Solanum lycopersicum: one gene and its partners. The protein of the gene in region 3 interacts with the protein of the main gene of each other region in a pairwise test. Links are inferred from orthologs where the notes say so. Each region holds a gene or a part of one and is shown on either strand. Other genes may lie near its edges.

Region 1 (3,756 bases), on a different chromosome or scaffold from region 3:
AGTTTTGTCAAATTGAGTTTCCACCAATTCTTTTAAGCTATCAATTTTTGTGATGAAACATTAGGCTATTATACATAAGGCAATAGGCAAGCATATAGAATGCGACAAGGAGAATAGTACCCCATATTAGTTGGAGTTGACCATACAAACTCTTACATCCATTCCATATTATATTTCATTACTAACTAATTTGTCTTGCAAGGCAAATTAGTAGTCTCATAGAAGACCATTATCCAGACAAAAGCTTCAAAGCATTTATTATTGCCTTAATCTGTTTCAACAAGTTGCATTAGAGCAAAAGAGTACATGAGCAGTTCTGATACCCTCAAGCTGTCTACTGTATAGTGTACAACAGCTCCATCGGGAATGCCCAAATGTTAGCAAATTGCTCATTGTGCACCTAGGACTTCAATCTCAAAAACCAGAACTGAGTTGGGCTGAATACCCCATGCTGGAAATCCACCAGCACCATAAGCATAATCAGGGGTGCACTGCAAAATTGAAGACATCAGTTTAAACCTCTCCTTATAGAAGATCTTAATACATAAAAGCCTAGAAACTTTTTTCATATATGTACACAATTATAGTAAGATTAATACTCTTAGGAAGAATGCAATTATTGTATCATCGCCATTCCATTATAAACTTTGCAGCCAATCCCATCAAAAAGATGGAGATGATGTGACCATGAAATGGGCAGTAATACGAGGCAGAAATTGAAAAACGACAATTAGGGGGAGTTATCTGAAACCATCAATCCACTTTAGAGTGTCAATTGTAGAAAACATCATAATGTCTTCCTATAAGCCAGTCAGCCAAAAGGATAGAGACATTTCAGTGAAGTGAAAATAAATCAAAACTCAACAATGTAAAATAACTAGGAGATATCAACCTCCTTATTTTCCAATTGACTCTTAGTTTTCTGACTATAAACCCATAACTCAATGGGAGTCTAAACTTCATAACATGGATAACACAAACATAATTAACTCCGTGATTGATTTGACTTCAACTGAGAATCAAAAGAAAAGAGAAGGCATTTACCGTTAATCGAGCAACTTCTCCCAATTGCATGCCCAGTACTCCTTCATCCCATCCTGTAAATAAGGAGACATAAGAATAAAAGAAATGCAAGCTGAGAGAACTGTCACTATGGTCTACAGCGTTCTTAAGTTTCTCCCTTTGAAGACCCCAGAAGGAGGTGGGGATTTGTTCATAATGGGCACATGTCTGACAAATATAGAAGGATCTAAAAATGCCACTACAAAAGTTCACCACAGCCAAATTTTACTTCGTAAGTCAGCTATGAGCTTTTGCTTTGAGAAAGAAGTGTTAGTTTATCCAACATTAATCTGGTATCACTCAAGAGACCGAAGAATCAGCTGAACTATATGTGTGCTTCAAGGGAAAAGATATCTTAGCTCCTTCCATAGTGTCTTTTCTAGAATGATAGCAAGTTGGTTGTCTCAACTTAAAGACCTACCATCATTTGCCAACAAATCTATAACTCTACATGAATCCACCTATGTCACATTTAGACCTCTTTGGCCACCAACGTAGTAAGCTTTTGTTTGCTTTACAAAAGTGTAAGTTCTCTTGCACTAAAAGCTGTCCAGTATAAGAGCTATAAGCTTCCGGACCACTTCTATGGTCAGAAATTGGGTTTGAGAGAAATTTAAAATGACAATTGAAATCAATAAGAAAAGTAGTGGGATCACTACTATAAGTTCCATTCATGGTTAGTCCAATATAAGACTACTAAATTTTCCAAATTAATTGTCCAATTGAATACATTATCACGCATTACTTATAATAACATACTAACGCATAAACTAGGAAAAACAAATCATATAAATCGAGATATACAGGAGTCGTAAGTACCTTTGATAACTTTGCCTTGGCCGATCTTGAAAGAGAAAGGCTGCTGGCCTGGATCCTTAGTGCTGTTACACGTAAAATTAAGCAAAGATATATACTACACATAACCCTGCATCAAACTTCATAAATAAATAAAAAAAAACAGTTTACCTCCAGAACTTCTGACTCAGGTCTCTATCTTTCCCTGCAGGCATAGAACAATAAAAACAATATTAACCAAAAATACTACTAAAAACTGTACTTACTAAAAATCAAACTATATTAAAGATCCGATTCATCTATAAAGAATAAAAACAGACTGAATTAGAGATTAACTAGTTTGATGCGATTAATCCCTTGTGAAAAGAAAATGGATCTTTTTCTTTGGCGAAAAAAGAAAGAGGACTCACCGTAACCAGTGCAGTGGACGGTAACAGTTTGACCAGGCTGCGGTTTGGGGCCATTTCCGGCTCTGATAACTTCCTTCTCCACTCCCATTTTTTCCGGTGATTTTGATGAAATCTCCGACTTCTTGATTTAGGGTTTGATGACTGAAACTGTAGTGCTTGTCAATTTCAAGGGTCAGTGTCACGTGATTCTCGCGTGCGGCAGCGGAATATCTTCGTTACTTTCCTTTTTATACCCTTTTACATTTTATTTTTTTTTATATATGGGCGGATTTCTAGCTTGTTCGAGGAGAATAAAAATTGCTTACTTTTTTTTTTTTTTTTGAAAAAATGCGATAAATTAAGGTCTTATTGTCTTTAAATTTGTATTGTTTTTAATTTTTTGTATTTTTTTTACTTACGTGATATCTATATATCTCTCACGCGTCAATTGTGTGGATGCACGGAGTGTGCCACGTATGACAAAAAGTATATAAAATCACAAAAAAAAAATAAGTTCAAGGGGTAATAAGACCTTAGTTTAGTTTAATTGTGTCTCTGGATTTCGATCATAGTTTAGGGGGTAATTGTGTATTTTTCCTCTTTTTTTACTTCTTCTTTTGTATGAGTTTTTGGCCGAAATTATCCCTATCATATGACTAAACCTAAAGTATATCCTTTTATTAAATAAGTGAAAAAAATCCTGAATTATTAAAAAAGTTGCAAGATGTATCCTTTTGTCTATTTTTTTTTTTTAAGAAACTCACGTCGCAATTAAAAATGTGTCAAGTCAAATGAATATATGTTCACATGGTTAAGCTAATCAAATTAGGCGGTTCTTTTCAATTTTTTGAAATTGAGGGTTTAAATTATATTCATACAAAATATATTCAAATTCTAAATATTCTTTGAAAAAAACAAATACTACTCCAACTTCAAAAATTTCCAATAAAGTAATTATATATTTTTTATTTTAATAACTAATCAGCTACATAATATCACATTATTTCCAGCATTTTTATACATGGTATAAAATGTGAACATTGTATACATAATATACCCTCAATATTTTATTAAAAACTCTCTAAATAGTTGGATTTAATATATTTGAAATGATTTCTTTACGTAATCTTTCTAAACTTCAGAACATAATGTATGAATTATTCAGAATTTATGTATTGGTTGAAGTCACATGATCGAGAAATGCAAGTTCAACTTGATGAAATTGTTCGTACTATGTGGGAAGATTATATTAAAAACTACTACACAACAATTTATGTTCAATTTTTTTTATTAAATTAAAGTTAGATGAAACAATTATTTAAGTGTAGAACAAATACCTTTGTAATACTTTATTATGCAATTTTATTTTTTTATTTGATAAGATTGAATAAACAATTGTGGCTATTTAATAATTTTACAACTTCTGAAATTTATATATTTATGAGAAAATATGTAACACAAAAATTTCATATCACATGTCCAAACAAAACTTCAATTTCATTGATTCCAT
Region 2 (3,756 bases), on a different chromosome or scaffold from region 3:
GTATAAAAAGTTGAAAATTTGTTATTCGTGTTAAAGTTAAGTTTTTGGTCAACTCCAAACAACCATAACTCCTAACTTTGGATGAGTTAGGTCCTTTATCAGACCTTAAAGGCTTAATACTAAGATTAAATTGATTTTTTTAACTAAGCTTTGAATTGTTTAAGTATATCAAATACTTTACTCTTTAATCTGATGAAATAAACCGAACACATTCTAGTGTAGTCATCAATAAAGAGGAGAAAGTATGTGTTATCACTTAATGAATTTGTTTTCATTTGGCCACAAACATCCGTACGAATGATCTGAAGTTTCTGATTAGCTCTCCATTCTTGATTTACTTCAAATGACAATTTTGTTTGCTTTTCCTAGTAGGTTTCACAAACTTGAGCTTTAGAAAGAAATTGAGGCATATTTTTCACTAACTTTTTCATTCTCATATCGAAAAGACTAAACCTTTTGTGTCATATGTTTGTACATGTTTGCGAAGTTAGGAATTGTTTGGTTAGAAACAAGTTATCTCAAGAAAAGTTATCCTGAGATTAGCTATCCTAAAATAACTTATCCCACCATGTATATGTGATAACTTATCCAATTACTATGATATAAATAGTGAGATAAGTTATTCCGAACATGACAACCAAACAAGATATAAAATTTTTATTCCATTTCTATTTTCTCATCTCATCACTACTTATTGTTATTCCTACACCATACGATCCCTAAAAGTATAAGCCTGATCAATTATTTTCTCCCAATCAACTGAAAAATGTTATGTTGATCATCTTAAAATAAAATAATTCTACTTCAAAAGGATTAGAAACAACACATTCACGATTTTTAAAATGTAAAAAATAATTATTTTCAAGCATTTGTTGGTCAATAAATTGTGAATCATATTCGATAATCGGTTGACCCATTAAGAAAACATTTCAAATCAATAAGAATCAATAATTTGACAACAAAAAAATCAAAAATATTATTGAAATCACTAAACTAACAATTCATTATCTATAAATTAATAGTAACTTTTTTGTAATTCAATTATTAATTTCGATTCGATTTTGAACTGGGGTAATAAGGAAATTGGATGAGGTGTATGTAGAGCAATATTATATCCCTCTCTTTCCTTCAACATAAAAACCCTCGCACAAAAACCCTTCCTCCACTGATAAACCTCTCGATCTGCAGCTAAGATTCAAGAAACACCAACGATGGAAACTCATGCTGACGGCACAGATGAAATTGCCGCCGTGGAGGAGCTACGGCAACAGCACGAAACCCGTATACAGACCCTACACAACGCTCAATTGGAACTCATCGCCTCACTGCAAAACATAGTTCCTGATATAGTCTCTTCACTCGACCTCTCTCTTAAGACCATTTCAGCCTTCAATGGAAAACCCTTCACCCCTTTACCCAGCCCACTCCCTAATGCCCCCAACCATAACCCTAATTTACTCGTCCCAAAGATCAATTCCTGTTCTGGTAAACGTGTTTCAGAACTTTCTAGAAGTGGTAGTGAGAAGGAGAAAATGGTAATTGATGAATGTGGGGGACCTTTGTCGGTTGTAAGGGCGATGGTTGCAGTTTGTTTGTTAGAGAGAGTGCCGTTTACTGCTATTGATTCGTCTACTTTGTTAAGGAAGTTAGAGAATGATCAGTCGCATACGGCTGCTGAAAAGGCAGCGATTAGGGAGCTCGGAGGCGAGTCGGGGGCGATAGTGGCAGTGGAAATGGCATTGAAATCGATGGCGGAGGATAATGGTTGTGTAGAATTGGAGAATTTTGTGGTTAGCGGGAAATCTAGGATTATGGTGTTGAATATTGATAGAACTAGGCTATTGAAAGAATTGCCGGAAAGTAAGCAGACTGAGGGAAGTGTTGGTGGAGGAAACCGGAATAATCAGGAAATAATGAAAAGAGGGATTGATAATGGAGGTGCTTTTGGAATGGGAAGGGGAATGAGTGAAATGTGGGAGCATCCACATATGCAGGGGATGACAGCTATGTTTCCCGGGAATATGGGCGGTCCAAGAGGAGGGCATAGAGGAATGGTGGGTATGATGGGGATGCCGAGAGGTGTTGGTGTTCCACCTCCTATGCATAGACCACCAATGGGACCAAATGGGCAAATAGGAGGAGGAGGGAATTCTATTGCTTTAAAACCTAGGTCAGAAGAAGATGAGCTGAAGGATTTAGAGAAAATGTTGAACAAGAAAAGTTTTAAGGAAATGCAGAAATCGAAAACCGGAGAGGAGTTATTGGACCTTATTCATCGTCCGACTGCAAAGGAATCTGCCGTCGCTGCAAAGGTATTGGACAATCCCACCCATCACAATTTTCTGTTCCCCATTCAAAAACTTTCTGTTTGATAATTTCTCCTCGCAGATATAATGAACTGATTACATTTTGTATTTTTTTTGGTACAATGCAACAACATAACCATAGGGGTTTGGGGAGGGTAGGATGTAGTCAGACCTTACCTACCTTGTGTGGAGGTAAAGACGCATCTTTGCTACAATGCAATTACGGAAATAAGTGAAATTTGCTAAGTCACAACTATTTTATATTTCTACTTCCATTGCGGTGTGCCAAGTTAATTTCTTCTTTGCTCTAACATTGTCTTTTTTGCATTTTTAGTTGTATATAATCCTCTATCGTCGTTGTTTGAATTTTGTTTGTTATTATGCTTCACATGTTTTCTCGTCTCTTGTTTCTTTGCTAAAGCTTTTGTAGTGTATTTTTTCATGGTAATTGATACCACCTTTTTATTTAAATTGTATTTTAGTTCAAAAGCAAAGGTGGTTCCCAGGTGAAGGAATATTGTTCAGCTTTAACAAAGGAAGATTGTCGACGCCAAGCTGGTTCCTACATTGCTTGTGATAAGGTTAGACCAAGTGATTTCTGGTACTTATGACACTCGAAGCTTTTAAGTTGTTACCATTTGTTTTGAACATAGATAGTACTCCGAACCAATAATGAAGATTGTAGATGGTGTTAATCACAATGTTATTGAAAGGTATTGCTTTGTCGATTAAAATGATGCAAAGCGAGGGGTCGTTGCTTCATGGGCCAATCTATGTGTTTCTGTTATGTGTCTGCTTCAAACAGTCTGCATAAAGTGACCCAACAAGAAATAGTTTATTCTTTGATTCTCAACTTTGAGGAGTTGGATTAAATCAACATTGTTGCATATCGGATGTCAAAATCAGTTATTTTATTGAATTTTGATTATCATTATACTAAATTCATATATGTATGATTTTAGGTTTCTGTGAACTGTGCACTTATTTTCTTGCTTTTCACTTCAAACCCTATGGATCTTGACATATTTTTGTGTTTTTTTTTCACTTTTAAAGCACTAGTTAATCATTACCTTTATATTCGGAGGGATATGGTAACTTTATTATGATGCATTTTTAGGTTCATTTTCGGCGAATAATTGCTGTGCATACTGATGTCAACTTGGGTGATTGCTCTTTTCTTGATACTTGCCGTCACATGAAGGTGATTTCCCTATCTAAAATGTTTACATAAGGATTTGGTTATATCTTCTGGAAATACATAGTACTTACACTCATTTAATTCGCAGACATGCAAGTATGTACATTATGAGCTTGACTCGACGCCAGATGTATCACCCCTGATGATGGGAGCATCTACCTTGGCCCCTCCCAAGCCTTTGAAACCTCAGCGTGCTCATTACTGTTCAGAAGTAGAGCTTGGTGAACCACAATGGATTAATTGTGACATACG
Region 3 (3,756 bases):
CAGAGCGCCACTTTAGTATTTCAGATTTTGCTGATTCAAGTTCTGTCTGAAACAAGATAGACAGTTAAGTCAGTAATTAGTTTTATGAGATTTAAATCAGAATGTTGGTCATTCAACAGCATGATTCAGGCTCCATTAAGTGTGGTGCAGTTCCAAAAGGCCCCCACACAAAGTTTGAACAAACTAGTGAATGCATAAGAATCAAGGAAGGGCTGTAAAACATCAAAGGAAGATTACAAACTGTGAAATTAGACATATTAACCCCTCGGACATTTTAAGACATGAGTAGCAGAGTCAACACGAAGGTTGGAAAGGGAAGATAAATTTATGCTGATGCAAGATAGGTAATCAGTAAATCATCACCATCCAGCCAACATGTTAGTTAAAGCATATTATTATCTGAAAAGCAAGGGAAGAAAGAGATTTTATCCTATACCACAAAAGCATCTAAAATGAATTTTTGAATGATTTGAGTGAAGTATCAGAGAAAACACAAAACAACTTCCCATGAAAGATACTATATGTGCTTACTTCTGTAACTCATGTGGTATTAAACAAGTCCTTGGACAACTTAGGATGTCAGCTATTAACTGGTGGAATGTGAAAGGTAAGAATGAGGTTCATGACTGCATACTAAAGTTCCTTCCAATTGCAATATGTTGGGAAATTTGGAAAAATAGACGTAAGCCAGATTTGATGATAAAATGATGCCAACTTGGTACATCATTCAGCAAGTTAAACAGCCTCATCAATTTCCCAAATTAACCCTCCCTGATTCTTGGATTGGAAATTGTTATATGATAGATAAGGTGAAACCAATCATCATTCAAAGGCTGTTTGTTCGATTAAACCTTCTCATTTTTGGATAAAATTCAATGTTAATGGTTGTAGCAAGGGAATTCCGGGATCAGCAGGTGGGTGCTATAATCAGGGATCATACAGGGGCTATGATTCAGGCCTTTGTTGATTACTATGGGCATTGCAGTAACAATATGGCTGAAGCCAAGGCCATGTTGAAAGGGGTGAACATTTGTTGGAGGCTGGACTTACTAATGTTATAGTTGAATCTGATTCTCTCCTTATTATCGACATTCTCAATGGGACCCTGGAAAATCAAGCAGATTACTGAGAAAATAGCTAATTCATCTCGTGTGGAAACTTTGTTTTTAAGCATAATTTTACAGAAGGCAACTCTACTGCTGACCTCCTTGCTAACATGGAGAAGAATCTAAAACTTTTCTAATCTTCACTGAAACTACTTTCGTACCTTTAAAGGTTAGAGCTTCATTGGAGATTGAATTTGATGGACTCCCAAATTCCAGGTTTAAGAAGAACAAGTTCGCCATTGATGTCTGCTGACTATTATAAGCCTTTTTTGGTGATTAGCAATAGGTATATATTATCTAGCTACTTAGATGAGTCTCATACCATCAGTAGCAATGATACTCAACACAATACTCTTTTTTGTTGTACTCAAATGTCTTTAAAGATTAATTTTATCAACCTTCACAATGCTACAGAGGCTAATGTTTATGCCCTCCTCCGTGTAATTATTATTTTTGGTACATATACAGGTTGAGTCTTGCCTAAACTCCTCCATCAGTTAAATGGACCTTCAGGAAAAAAAAAATTAAAAACCCTATATAAACATTGAATATTAACAGAGAGAAAGTAAGATAATCCAGCATACTATTCTTAATAAAAACAAAAACAAAATTATAATCCAACATACCATAGTAAAAAAAAAAATAGAACATCTAAACTTCTAGGCTCTGATAATTAATATAATATTTTAAAAAATCATACAGCATGAATACATAATGCTGAAAAAGAGGATGACAGATAATTTTGGGTATAACCATGGAAAACAAAAAACAAAAATGAAAGATGATAAGCACCTGAGTTGATGCTAGGTTATCCTTACAGTCCTGTAGACTGCAATAACGAATCACAAAAGACAGTGAGAAAGTGAAAACATAAGCAATTAAATCCAAAAATGTTCACAGATGTGCAACAAGCATCCAACTACCATACCTTTCGCGAAGAGACAAGATCATCCCTGTTGCTGCACCAGGTGCTGTTTCTTCTACTTTCAACAAATTACCCTAGTATTGAAACATATAAATGATAAATATTGACTTGAGATTGACATGCTAATAGTCCTTATGACTCCTATTAGTCTAGTTGAAAAGAATCACAGATCAGTCAAGTTAAATATTCTTGAAGGATTTAAATCCTTGACAGTATCAAAAAGTGCATTTAATTATGTTAAACAATTTATGATGTCTCAAAAGAAGCATATCACATAAATTTTAACTAAGAGAGTGCTTATGAGCAACCCACTAACCTTGTATCCCATGATTGGTTTGCAAGTATGGTTTACAAGACAAACTTAAATAAGAATAGGTAAACAAAACACCTTTTTAGAGCCAAAAATATCGTCCTCATCATCGTCAAGGTCTCCAAAGCTTCTTTTGGTACCTAAAATCACTTGCAATCAAATAATATACTCAAAAACTTGCAGTAAAAAGGACAATGGCGGAGAATTAGCAAACCTGAACGTCCAGTGGCGGCGAAATCTCCACCAAAATCGAGGTCCTGAGAATTCCCCCAAAACGAAAATTCTTCAACATTATAGTATAAAGGAAGTACAAGTTATAAACAACAACTAGAAATAAAAAAGGAAAAAAAGAACTTACATCGTCCATGTGATTATGAGACGCCATTGATAGAATCAATTCAACAAGCTTAAAGTTCAATTTGGAACCCTAAATTTGTTGAACAATGAGGAGGCTTCAGTGAAAAGAAAGCGGGGAAGGAAGAAAAATGTTTTGTCACATCCGGGTGGGTTTAATTCCTAGTTTGTAAAACCGAATTTATTTCATTAGACAAATAAAATCAATTGACCTAATTTGAGCAACATAATCTAAAATTCTTTTTTATACCTTATTACTATTTTATATTATTATTTCGAAATTAATATGGCATTAAAACATTGCTTTAACCATGGTAGGTTAGATCATTTTTTGGCTTCAAAATATGATGAAAAAAACTATACATAGAGAAAATAATGACACACTTTTTTAACAATAAAAATTAGGAAAAACAAAAGCTAAGTCAAGTTTTTTTTCACTTTAAAATATATAAATGTGAATTCAATGTGTATAGATTTTTGACATTCTTTTTAGTTGTAAAAATTAAAATTTGCTAGAGACGACAATTGGAGGAGAGAAAAAATACTATGATAACCTTGAATCCTTCTTTAAAAATTCAAAAATGTACAGAACTTTGTTACAAGTATGTTATAATCTGATAATTTTTTTTATTAATCCAAAATAATTGGGTTATCAAAAGTTGTTGGGCATTTTTAACTCGAAAATTAACGTTAAAAGGGGCAATTGGAACTCGATAAGTGAAGTTGATATTCCAGCTTGTATTTTTCTCTTTTAACACTTTCAATTCCAATCTAGATTGTCACGATTTGATTAGACTGAAACAACTCTATTGTGAGACACTGTACGAAGAAACTCTTTATAGCCAAACTTAAAAACAAATTGATTAAATTAAAGTTCCGGAGAAAACAAGAGGAATTATGACCTTAACTATCTACCACTCATCTATAATTACCACAACCAAATCCCTAAAATACAATATAAAGTAAGAATTATGTGATTAATGGCTGGTAAAAAGCTCACGTATATCATTAATATTAATAATAATAAGAATGGCGATTACTACTTGAATTACATATTTTAT

What was found.
Region 1: the proteins of FKBP12-interacting protein of 37 kDa (region 3) and FKBP12 interact in binary tests that used the Arabidopsis thaliana proteins (3 or more experiments, as listed by UniProt). The link is inferred for Solanum lycopersicum from reciprocal best matches to the Arabidopsis thaliana genes FIP37 and FKBP12.
Region 2: the proteins of FKBP12-interacting protein of 37 kDa (region 3) and N6-adenosine-methyltransferase MT-A70-like interact in binary tests that used the Arabidopsis thaliana proteins (3 or more experiments, as listed by UniProt). The link is inferred for Solanum lycopersicum from reciprocal best matches to the Arabidopsis thaliana genes FIP37 and MTA.

What each region holds. Positions count from the first base shown.
Region 1 is NC_090800.1:89,806,867-89,810,622, forward strand, and holds FKBP12 (peptidyl-prolyl isomerase FKBP12), read right to left. Parts: upstream 2,371-3,756; 5' UTR 2,356-2,370; coding exon 2,268-2,355; intron 2,063-2,267; coding exon 2,029-2,062; intron 1,944-2,028; coding exon 1,882-1,943; intron 1,098-1,881; coding exon 1,045-1,097; intron 492-1,044; coding exon 390-491; 3' UTR 153-389; downstream 1-152. UniProt on the Arabidopsis thaliana protein: PPIases accelerate the folding of proteins. It catalyzes the cis-trans isomerization of proline imidic peptide bonds in oligopeptides. Mediates rapamycin inactivation of TOR protein kinase activity.
Region 2 is NC_090807.1:56,953,792-56,957,547, forward strand, and holds the start of N6-adenosine-methyltransferase MT-A70-like, read left to right. Parts: upstream 1-969; 5' UTR 970-1,211; coding exon 1,212-2,312; intron 2,313-2,788; coding exon 2,789-2,887; intron 2,888-3,423; coding exon 3,424-3,507; intron 3,508-3,592; coding exon 3,593-3,756. UniProt on the Arabidopsis thaliana protein: Catalytic subunit of the N6-methyltransferase complex, a multiprotein complex that mediates N6-methyladenosine (m6A) methylation at the 5'-[AG]GAC-3' consensus sites of some mRNAs.
Region 3 is NC_090802.1:59,710,999-59,714,754, forward strand, and holds the start of FKBP12-interacting protein of 37 kDa, read right to left. Parts: upstream 2,929-3,756; 5' UTR 2,727-2,928; coding exon 2,700-2,726; intron 2,599-2,699; coding exon 2,556-2,598; intron 2,482-2,555; coding exon 2,420-2,481; intron 2,106-2,419; coding exon 2,035-2,105; intron 1,936-2,034; coding exon 1,899-1,935; intron 1,245-1,898; exon of another isoform or gene 1,093-1,244; coding exon of another isoform or gene 1,051-1,092; intron 47-1,050; coding exon 1-46. UniProt on the Arabidopsis thaliana protein: Probable regulatory subunit of the N6-methyltransferase complex, a multiprotein complex that mediates N6-methyladenosine (m6A) methylation at the 5'-[AG]GAC-3' consensus sites of some mRNAs.